Arabidopsis thaliana: one gene and its partners. The protein of the gene in region 3 purifies or fractionates together with the protein of the main gene of each other region. This does not show direct contact. Each region holds a gene or a part of one and is shown on either strand. Other genes may lie near its edges. The genes, in order: AT2G40650, AT2G05920 and RS41.

Region 1 (3,753 bases), on a different chromosome or scaffold from region 3:
GACCAACCTGAATGTTAAGCAAACTGACACTAAGCTCTGCCTCTTTCTTAGCTGGTTCTGGTTCAGCAGGCTTCTTCTTTTCCTTTTTGGCATCCTTCTCTTTTGCTGCATTTTTCTTTGGTTCCTACACGAAAAAGGACAGAGGAGAACACCAGATTCAACTAATTAAAGAGACTCACAGTCATTGAAATCAAACTTAAAAGTTAAAATAAGTACCTCTGGCTCAGTTTTCTTTGTGCCCAGCTGCGGCTGCACATCTGGCTTGTCAACAGGCTTTACACCTTCTGCAGCTTTTTTTGAATTAGAATTTGTTTCCACCTTAATGGCAGGTTTTGGTACCTACGTTTAGAATAAATGAAAAAGATCAGAAAACCATTTTCTCATCGCATGTAATACATCTGAAAAAAGTAGCATGTTATTATTGTTTCTCAGTCTAAGAAAATGGGTATGAAAAGATAATTCACCTCGAAGCTAAATTCTGGTAGCTTCACAGGTATTGGTGCAAATAATGTCGACAACTCTTCTTTATTCTGTAAAATAATACGCAGCATATATTCGTAAAGCAGACAATCACAAGGAAAGAAAAATGTGAAAGGTGATGTTCAGAGAGTGCATATCTAGCTATAGTCACTAACGCCGTTACGCGTACACATAAAGTAGTCCTCCATGGATTTACAGGCTACCTCGGCGCAATCAAGTAACAAAACTTTATGATGTCGAACTTACCTGGATGTAATTCACCCATCTTATGACATGTGGTACTTTCTCCTTGTCTGAATCTGAGAGGCCAAGCTGGGAACAGCAAGTCAAACAGATAACAGTTAGTATTTAATACCTTTAGTCATCAGTTTATGAAAATTTGATCGTAGCATCTTTATCAAGTAACATAAAATTACTTATACAGGAACGAAAAATAAGTAGACTACGGAATATAGAGAAGTGGTACCACTGAAGAATGCAGAGCTGAAAACACAGCAACATCAGCTGCCGATGGCGTCAATCCGTTTCCCAAGAGCACTGACTTGGTAGCTAACTCTAAATTCAACTTTTCAAGAGCTGAAAACCAATCCTTTGAATCTGAAGAGAAACCTTCCGCAAAATCTAGCCACTTCAAAACCTGAAATAGGTTTTTACTCTTTAAAATGTGAAACAATGACGCATTATGCAAACGAAAGCCAACGAATCCTCATCATTTAGCATTACACAGAACTCAAACATACTAATTCATTTTTTTTCTAACGTGGTAGCAACGAGAAGGGAACTCAATAAATTCCCAGTAAGAGTTTGGCGTTTATGTCTATAGGAACCAAATTCAAGAAGAAACGACTTACATCGTTGTTTTGTGCAGATACTTCCTTTCCAGATGCCTTCAATACATTAGAATAAAGTGTCTTGATATCACTTTCACCCGCTCCGCCCACAAAAGGTTCCTAAACAAATGAATCAAATCAATTTCAGAAACAGAACCAATAAATCATCACAATGTAAAATCATAAAAGCCAATTTCTAAAGTTTTTTCCTTTTTCATGACCAGCTTGATGCATAAGCGTAAACACTGATAAGTCCAAAACATAAACTTTCTAATTGATTTCAGTACCCAATCAGATAATGTTCGAGTTTTCTCCACTAACTAATTCAAAAAATGATCATACACATACTCAGCTACCAAGCAAAACCTCACAAAAAAGCAGAAGCTTTTGAGATGTCATCTTCTTCAATACTTACAGGATCCAAAGAGAAGTGTTTGCAGAGAGCTGAAAGAATCATCTGCTTCGCCTTTGAATCCATCGTCAACTTCTTCTCTTTCTCTATTTTCGAAATTTTGTTCTTCTCTTTGGGGCTCTTCGCTGTAAGAAAACACACTGCAATTTCTTCGATAGGGTTTTTGCTTGATGTAACTAACGGTCCTAACGGACTTCCAACTAACGGCGTTATCTCCATCTATAATGGGCCTAGATATATTAGCAGCCCATTAATATGTTCTTACTATGGGCTTTACCACCGAAAGCAATCATTAATAAAATAAAATAAATGAATTAACTTCTCAGATTCTTCAAAGACCTAGAGTGTCTTCGTCTTCGACGACGGCAAATTCGTGGAAGCTGTTTCATCGATTCCGGCTTCACTGAAGCGGCGTCGCTCGACGTTTATTATTCCGACGACTAGGCCTTTGAGGCAGTTTCTGATTAACTTCAGGCGATAATGGCAAACAGAACAGATCCGTTGGCAAAGAATATAAGAGGAACGAATCCGCAGAATCTGGTAGAGAAGATTGTGCGAACGAAGATTTATCAGCACACCTTTTGGAAGGAGCAGTGCTTTGGTCTCACGGCGGAGACATTGGTGGACAAAGCTATGGAGCTCGACCATCTAGGTGGTACCTTTGGTGGTAGCCGCAAGCCTACTCCGTTCCTTTGCCTCATATTGAAGATGCTTCAAATCCAGCCTGAGAAGGAAATTGTCGTGGAGTTCATAAAAAATGATGACTACAAGTAAGATTTCTAACCAAAAGCTTATTTCTGCGTAATCTAGATTGGATACTGCTATTAGCCTTGTCGTAGTTGTTTCTCAAGTATACAGGTATGGAATGTCTCTCAAATCTATTGGTCTTAGATAATCTACTCTCTTAGTTTCTGCAGATATTTGTTCTTGAATTACTGAAATATTTACTCTTTTGGTTTCTGCAGATATGTTCGTATTCTTGGTGCGTTCTATCTGCGTCTCACTGGGACTGATGTTGATGTCTATCGCTACCTCGAACCTCTCTACAATGACTACCGGAAAGTGAGACAAAAGTTATCTGATGGGAGTAAGTTTCATTTTCTTTCGATGGATCCGTTGTGTTTAACTTTTGATTGATTTGTTCACTAACTAGATTTATTTCTTTGGTTTGGAATAGAGTTTTCGCTGACACATGTGGACGAAGTCATTGAGGAACTTCTAACCAAGGATTATTCTTGTGATATTGCAATGCCACGTTTGAAGAAAAGGTTTCTTCTTTTGCATTTGTCTGAAGCTGAATAATTAGTTTTTGGTTTCTGCAGTATTTTAAGATGGTTAATTTTTCACTCTGATGATAGGTGGACGCTTGAACAGAATGGTTTATTAGAGCCAAGGAAAAGTGTTTTGGAAGACGACTTTGAAGAAGAGGAAGAAAAGGAGGAGAATGAAGGGATTGCTGATGGATCTGAAGATGAGATGGTCAGTGCTTTCATTCTGCAATAGTTTTTATGTGATCTGTTTTCTGTTTCTATCTAGCAGCTCTAAGATGATACCATCTTCCTCCTCTTTTACAGGATCAGCGCCGTAAGAGTCCTGAAAGAGAAAGAGAAAGAGACAGAGACAGGAGACGCGACAGTCATAGACACAGGTATCTGAATCCGTGACCTTTACTAGATACATTTCTATGCTAGTTAACATTTTTCAAAAAAAAATTCTTTGTGATTGTGGAAGCTGTTTGATCTAGCTAATGCTCTTGCATCATGTCTAGTACTCTGTCTTTTGAGTGTCTGTTTCCACTATGGCATCTCAAGCCATCAGCGGTTGGATACAGCTTCCGAAATTAAATTTGTAGAGATCCTTCCAGGTTTCTCTGTACTGACAGTGTTCAGAGAGAAGTATTATGGATCAGACATTATTACAATCCTTACCCTGATACAGTATATGGTAGTTGTCATTGTGTTACTTTGAAAAAGATCAGTTAATCATGAGAGCACTTCCCATCTAGTTTTTAGCTCAATCAATGTTTTCTTT
Region 2 (3,753 bases), on a different chromosome or scaffold from region 3:
ACCTTAGTCTCTAACAATGAAAAGCGTTGCACTAGCTTTTTCACTCACAATCACGGCCAAGTCTAACAAGAACTTTAGCACCTCTATTTATACCATCGAGGTCTTCGGTCTTCTAGGTTAGCCTTCAAGATCTTGGATCACTCCAAATCTTCGCGTGAATATCTTCTTTCCAAACTGAACTCCTCCTGTTGTGGTCTCCACGTCATTCGTTCATTTGGCGGCATATCCACGTCAGCATCAATTACTTGATCTTCACTTTAGTCTTCTGAAACAGCTTCCAGCTTGTTCCAGCAATCAACACTCCTTCTGATTGTTCTGACAGAGGGTGCACTAACATTTTTATCTCCCAAAATTGTCTACTTCTTTGTAGGCTATTATTGATGGTAGAAATCAGATTTTGGTCAGCGTCTGGGCTTGCCATTGCCTCCTCTAGCTTTTGCCTATTCTCTTCAGTGGCTTTTTGACTATTTTGATGCTTAGTCCTAGTTCAGGTAATGATTTCTTGTATAAATCTACTGACATTTTCCTCAACATCCTCCATGGCGTCAAAGTTCCAAGCTGCTTAAATTAAAATAGAGACTTCCTCATTGTCTTTCAATCTTTTATCGTACTTAAAAACTCCTTTTTTCTTTTCCTCGAATACATTAAAGTGAGTAAGAAGTGGTTGACGGTCTGAGCTTTCAAACCTTAAATACTCCCAACGACTGGATGGGTAAGCCTTAGCCCTTGTTCCATTTGACATAGCCCTATATAGTGTGCAATGAACAATGAGCTCATGTCTCTTTCCTCTCCAAGAGAAGAAGTTGCTCAAGTGTCTGAGATCGTATAAGTCACATTCTGACATGAATGACCTAATGTTCACAAAAGTACCTTCATGTATGATTTGTCCTCCTTGTTTTTCTGATGCATCAATGATGTCATTAAAATCTCTTGTTAAGTGCCAAGGTTCTTCTCTATTCCCATGAATAATTAAGATCTCATGTTTTCAACAAGTATTACTAAAACTATTATTTTTATTCTTCAAACTCAAAAAGTAGAGCTATATAGTGACAAAAAAACTGTTGCACGTAAATTTATCGTCATAAAAATGACTTTTAACATAACACGTGAATTACACATTGTTTAATGATACGTTACTAAAAAAGATAACGTTATTTTTTGACCACCGATTTTTAAGTAATAAATACATGAATTGTTACAAGCAAAAAAATGTTGAGAGCTTATTCAATTTCATCATACTAGTGTGACATCATTGCTACATATATTGAATATATTGCACGTTTTTAGTTACACATATAAACACTCGTATGCATAACTACGTCAGGTATCCCGACAACAAAATTCACCTAATTTGTTTTAGTTAGCAAACCTGATCTAAAAACTCAACATTATGGGTCTTTCAACTTGAGTTAAGTACACAAACTCTCCCATACCAAGCTGTGAAGAGATCCAAAAAACAATATCCAATGTCTACATTTATTTTTATTTCTATTTTAAAGAAAATATAATCGATTTAGCTTCAATAACTCTAAAATAGAAAAAAAAAGAAATTACTATATATAGATTACTCTTAAATTTTCAATCAAAATCCAAAAAAAATATTTCTCAACATAACACATCTTACTACTTTAAAAACCTCACAAAATAGTTATTATATTATTCTTAGTCAAATTCATAACCTATATTCCCTATTTTCCGGTCAGTCATATGCTTTTGCTAATAAACTTAAATATAGATAGATCTGATAAATTCTTTTCGGAACCAATTATTTTCTTCCCTTAATTTATTAGTTGTTACCCTTTAAATGATCTTAATTCTAAAAAACAGACCAACAACTTTATTAGCTACCCTTAAATGATCTTTAGTTTTCAACAAACTCATCAACAATTTTATAAATTCTTAAACCCAACATCATCCACCCAAACACAATTATTAAAAAAACAATCTATATGTTTATAAACATATAATAAAATAAAATAAAAAGACACAAAAAGAACGTTGAAAAAAGAAAGAAAAAGACACAAAAGAACGTTTGAGGAAACCAATAAAAAGAAAAATGGGCCTGAGAGACTGAAGAACAACCCTTTTATCACGTATCGTGTCTCCAGCTGTATATATATTTCCCACACACACTCTTTTTCAAAACCCCACCGACGATGGCATTTCCGTTATTATTCTAACGGTCACACGTCCCTTACGTGTCCACCACTTTTTTTTATTATTATTTTAATCCCATCACTCTTTCTCTCTCTCTCCCTATCTTCTTCTTCTTCTTCTTCTTATTCCCCACACTCTCTTCTTCTCTACTTCACCATCATTCACACACACTCATGGCTTCTTCTTCTTCTTCTTCTTCCTCCATCACAATCATCACCACCTTCCTCTTCCTTCTCCTCCACACAACCGCCAAAAAAACCTACATCATCCGCGTCAATCACTCCGATAAACCGGAATCATTCCTCACTCACCACGATTGGTACACATCTCAACTCAATTCAGAATCATCTCTTCTCTACACTTACACAACCTCCTTCCATGGCTTCTCCGCTTACCTCGACTCCACCGAAGCCGATTCTCTCCTCTCCTCCTCAAACTCAATCCTCGATATCTTCGAAGATCCTCTCTACACACTTCACACTACGCGTACTCCTGAGTTTCTCGGTCTCAATTCCGAATTCGGTGTTCACGATCTCGGTTCTTCTTCTAACGGCGTTATCATCGGAGTTTTAGATACTGGCGTTTGGCCTGAATCTAGAAGCTTCGATGATACTGATATGCCTGAGATTCCTTCTAAATGGAAAGGAGAATGTGAATCTGGTTCCGATTTCGATTCCAAGTTGTGTAACAAGAAGCTTATCGGAGCTAGAAGCTTCTCCAAAGGATTTCAAATGGCTTCTGGTGGTGGTTTTTCGAGTAAGCGTGAATCTGTTTCTCCTCGTGATGTTGACGGACATGGAACACATACTTCAACTACCGCCGCGGGATCCGCCGTTAGAAACGCTAGCTTCCTCGGTTACGCCGCCGGTACGGCCAGAGGTATGGCCACTCGTGCTCGTGTTGCTACTTATAAAGTTTGTTGGAGTACTGGTTGTTTTGGATCTGATATACTAGCTGCTATGGATCGAGCTATACTTGATGGTGTTGATGTGCTTTCGTTATCTCTTGGTGGTGGTTCTGCTCCGTATTATCGCGATACGATTGCGATTGGAGCGTTTTCGGCTATGGAGAGAGGTGTTTTTGTGTCTTGTTCTGCTGGTAATAGTGGTCCTACTAGAGCTTCTGTTGCCAATGTTGCTCCTTGGGTTATGACTGTTGGTGCTGGTACTTTAGATAGAGATTTTCCGGCTTTTGCGAATCTCGGTAACGGGAAACGACTTACCGGTGTTTCGCTGTATAGCGGTGTAGGAATGGGGACGAAGCCGCTTGAATTGGTTTATAATAAAGGGAATAGTAGTTCGAGTAATCTTTGTTTACCTGGTTCGCTTGATTCGAGTATTGTTCGTGGGAAGATTGTTGTTTGTGATAGAGGTGTTAATGCTAGAGTTGAGAAAGGAGCTGTGGTTAGAGATGCTGGTGGTTTAGGGATGATAATGGCGAATACTGCTGCGAGTGGAGAGGAGCTTGTGGCGGATAGTCATTTGCTTCCCGCGATCGCTGTAGGGAAGAAGACTGGTGATTTACTTAGGGAGTATGTTAAGTCAGATTCTAAACCAACCGCTCTTCTTGTTTTTAAAGGAACGGTTCTTGACGTTA
Region 3 (3,753 bases):
CCATCGTTGAACGCGTCGTCCGTACTGTGAAGCCTGATAATGTCGCCGTTGAACTCTGTCGTAGCAGGAAAGTCCAATTCTTTATCCAAACGAAATTCGGGTTTCGTGAAATTTGATGACTTTATTGCCAACTGATGAAATTGAATTAGCCATTGTGTTGTGTAACAAATTGCAGAGCTTGGTGTTGATGTTGCAGAGCTGGGATTATGTACACTTCAAGTGTTGGAGGAGAGGTTGACCAAAACTTAAAATCCGGAGAGTTGTCGTTGACCGGGACTGGCTTTCTCGGTGCTGTTGGCCGGAGTTTAGACTTGGGTATATAAACTAATCAAAGCTTTTTATTTACCATTGCTCGCTTTTGTACTTCAACGTTGATGAATGTGTGTGTTTGGGATGATCATAGGAGGGCAAACTGCGTTGGCATTGCGACTTCTATTGGCGGTTTTCTCTTCTAAGTTATCTTCTGTTGCTGACCGCCCTTTCGGGGATGAGGTACTTTTGAGAAAACCTCAAGAGTTAGTGTTTGTTTTTGGACATTCAGTCTCTTCTTGATTGCTATTTGTTGCAGTTTCGTGCTGCTCGGAAAGCATCTGAGGAAGTTGGTGCGCAGCTGGTTCTTGGAGATCGACCCATCGAAATAACTGTAATGACTATACCAAGTACCAACTGATCGTTTTTGTAGTTACATATGGGTTTAAAACCAATGGAATCTACATTGAACTTATAACATTGTAGCTCCAAAGGGCTTGGAACTCTTTGAAATGGGGAGAGAAGTTTAATCTGGTGATGGCTGTGACTCGGGTAATCACATCGTCATCGGGTATATCCGCAGCGGAGCTTAAGGTTTTGTTTCTCTTTCGCTAACTCGGTTTCGCTTTAATTCAAGAAGATGATAAGATAAGTTGTAACTTTTCGGTTTGTGTTTGCATTGCAACAGGAACAAGAGACCGATGAAAACAGTGGAAGTTTGCAGCTTTACGAACGGCTAAGTTTCTCATACCCGGCACTCCTAATGCCTCTTATACACGAAAGAGATACCGTAAGCATAAAAACCGAAACAAAGCGACACTCAAAAAAACCGTATGCTGATAAGACTTGACCAAATAATGTGTTTTTTTGCCTTGACAGTATCTTGCTTGGTCATTGAAGAGAAGTAAGGCAGTGAATGGGTGTAAAACAGTGGTGGGAGTGATCGGGAAAGGACACATGAATGGTGTCATCTACGCGTTGGTGTCAGACTCTGGGGATCTCCGGTTTAGAGATTTGGTGGGAAGAGGAGATTCATATAATGGTGGTACTGGTACTACATCGAACGGTTGGATTCAAAAGGTTTTAAAGAGCTTCGTAAGAGACACAATTATAGGGTTCTTGCTATGGGAGTTATATGAACAGTATCTGATGATGAATCAAAACCTTTCATGATATAACTAAAAAAACAAGTTGTTGCATATTTAAAAAGGAAACTGGAAAAAGAATCTAAATGAGTACAATATGTATGTATATGATTCTTCTTCCTCTAGATTTTGTTGAGGCAACTACAAAGTCTTATATGAAATTGATGTATATTTTGCAGAAATTTCAATTGTAAACATAAAATGTTTAGGTAAAAAATTATTTGTACTTCTCTAGTTGGTAACGAAATAAAAATAAAATATTTTTTTTTTTAATATATATATATATATATATATAAATATAAATATATGTTTAAGATTCATTATCTGGAGAGAGAGCCTCGAAGAAAGCAAATAAAATCTAGAGAAGCTTGTTTCTAGGGTTTCGACTCTCGACGGCCGGTACGATTTTTCAACTGCTTGTTCTAAGGTATAATCAAAATCGAGTTCTTCAGATATTGAATTCGATTCTCTCTTTGGTCTCTCTCTTCTCTTGTTCTTCAGATTTAAATTCGATAGCTTTTTCATTTTCTTCCGTTGAATTTTTCTTGTTTCATTAGGTCTGTTGAAATTGTAGTTTCTTCTTGCTTTGTTTTCTCATATGGTTGATTTTTTTTTTCCAGATCTGAGGTTTTTTTCATCATAGCTTGAAAAAATCCATACTTTCTGGGCTTCCTTTGTATAAATATGAAAACTTTAATGAAAATCTGTTGTGGTATGTTATGGGTTGTGACTTGTGATGAATTGAATTTTGAATATAGTTGTAAATTTGAAATCTTGAAGTATGAAATTTGCATTGGTTTGTTAATTTGTGATGAATTGGATTTTGATTATTACAGTTATAAAGTTGAAAACTTGGAAGTGTAGATGATTACATTTTTCTGTGGTTTGGTTCCTGTTATGTTCATTGTTCTATGATCTTAATTATATGTTTTGTTATTGCTTCTCTTCTGGAGTGTGTTTATTTGTATATTTTGGTCAAATCTGTGCTCTGTTTAGTATCTCTTGGATATCTTTTGATACTTAGGTTGTTGAGAGGAGCTATAAATCGTTTCTGTTGTCTATTTTGTAGGAATCATGAAGCCTGTCTTTTGCGGAAACTTTGAGTATGATGCTCGTGAGAGTGATCTTGAGCGGCTTTTCAGAAAGTACGGCAAGGTTGAGAGGGTTGATATGAAAGCTGGTAAGTCTTGGTTCTTGTTTTTCTTTATACTTTCTCTTAGTTTTTCTGTTTGGTTGAATTGAAATGGATAAAGAAGTCTCGTAAACCACTACCAATCCGATGAACAACAAGCGAAATTCAGTCAAATGCATTGTTCTTAAAATCCACTTACGTGCGTTCATTCCATGAGACTCTCTGGAGGACTGTCCTTTCAAAGTGTGCTCTCTAGCCTCTGCATCCCACATTCCGTATTCCCTCGGTTCGCTACCATCTGATTCCAACATCTGCCAAGGAACTTGAAGCACCCCGCATGAAGTTCATAGCATACCTCAGAAGAGAAAAGATCGAGTAATTTTAGGGTAAAACCGCCATACTCAACATTTGATTTTGGCGCAGGATTTGTTTCGATCTTGGGATGCCCATTCTCCCACACAGCCCATTGATGGACAATATGGAAAATCCATTTCCTGCCCAAAAGAGTCAACCTCATCCACGCAATGGCACTACGTTCCCATAACCCCGACTTTAGTTGCATTTCATTCCTCTTGACTTTTCTCCTCTTCGAGATGCACATGCCTCTTTGGTAGACTTATACCAACCTCTCACAGCAGAGGCAGCAAATCAAATGGAGTTTGCGCCACCACGTTTCTGTTCACAATTCCGTCTCATCTCCTCCTCATTTTCAGTTCTTCTTCTTTGACATATTAATTCCATAATGCAAGGTCTGTAAAACTACTTATAGTTTGTAGAGATTTTAGGTTCAAAACTTATTTGTCACAGTAAGTAGTAAAGGCTGTTTTGATACTGCCGTGGAAGGGAGAGTCTTCATATTAGAATTCCTCTTGGAGGAGGTTCTTTTTCTTGGTTTACTTGATAAGATTGTTCTCATGTTCTGACTTTCCCTTTTGGTTCTCTCCCCAGGGTTTGCTTTTGTCTATATGGAAGATGAAAGGGATGCTGAAGATGCAATTCGAGCGCTTGATCGCTTTGAATATGGTCGCACAGGACGCAGACTCCGTGTTGAGTGGACAAAGGTAGAATCTTGAATATCATTTTAAAAGTTATTATCAGGACGGATTTAGTGATGGAATGCAAATTCTAATACTGGGTATAGAATGACCGTGGAGGTGCTGGAAGATCAGGTGGTTCGAGGAGATCATCTTCTGGCTTGAGACCTTCCAAGACTCTGTTTGTGATCAA

Evidence for each region.
Region 1: the proteins of RS41 (region 3) and AT2G40650 fractionate together in Arabidopsis thaliana (co-fractionation; one large-scale study listed by BioGRID). This does not show direct contact.
Region 2: the proteins of RS41 (region 3) and AT2G05920 fractionate together in Arabidopsis thaliana (co-fractionation; one large-scale study listed by BioGRID). This does not show direct contact.

Annotation. Positions count from the first base shown.
Region 1 is NC_003071.7:16,964,046-16,967,798, reverse strand, and holds the start of AT2G40650 (PRP38 family protein), read left to right. Parts: upstream 1-2,000; 5' UTR 2,001-2,202; coding exon 2,203-2,492; intron 2,493-2,687; coding exon 2,688-2,809; intron 2,810-2,899; coding exon 2,900-2,990; intron 2,991-3,080; coding exon 3,081-3,201; intron 3,202-3,296; coding exon 3,297-3,370; intron 3,371-3,753. Other genes in the region: AT2G40660 (Nucleic acid-binding, OB-fold-like protein), read right to left, coding at 1-124, 217-339, 465-530, 727-792, 947-1,117, 1,332-1,430, 1,726-1,788. UniProt on the Arabidopsis thaliana protein: Probably required for the first pre-mRNA cleavage reaction catalyzed by the spliceosome.
Region 2 is NC_003071.7:2,270,785-2,274,537, reverse strand, and holds the start of AT2G05920 (Subtilase family protein), read left to right. Parts: upstream 1-2,085; 5' UTR 2,086-2,330; coding exon 2,331-3,753.
Region 3 is NC_003076.8:21,128,613-21,132,365, forward strand, and holds the start of RS41 (RNA-binding (RRM/RBD/RNP motifs) family protein), read left to right. Parts: upstream 1-1,707; 5' UTR 1,708-1,821; intron 1,822-2,432; coding exon of another isoform or gene 2,433-2,468; coding exon 2,469-2,574; coding exon of another isoform or gene 2,575-2,662; exon of another isoform or gene 2,663-2,725; coding exon of another isoform or gene 2,726-2,837; exon of another isoform or gene 2,838-2,881; coding exon of another isoform or gene 2,882-3,088; exon of another isoform or gene 3,089-3,178; coding exon of another isoform or gene 3,179-3,203; exon of another isoform or gene 3,204-3,268; coding exon of another isoform or gene 3,269-3,275; exon of another isoform or gene 3,276-3,474; coding exon 3,475-3,587; intron 3,588-3,667; coding exon 3,668-3,753. Other genes in the region: AT5G52030 (TraB family protein), read left to right, coding at 1-100, 197-315, 404-492, 569-643, 736-843, 938-1,039, 1,129-1,422; AT5G52045 (uncharacterized protein), read right to left, coding at 2,433-2,662, 2,726-2,837, 2,882-3,088. UniProt on the Arabidopsis thaliana protein: Required for constitutive and alternative pre-mRNA splicing. Involved in primary miRNA processing and pri-miRNA biogenesis. Binds both intronless and intron-containing pri-miRNAs.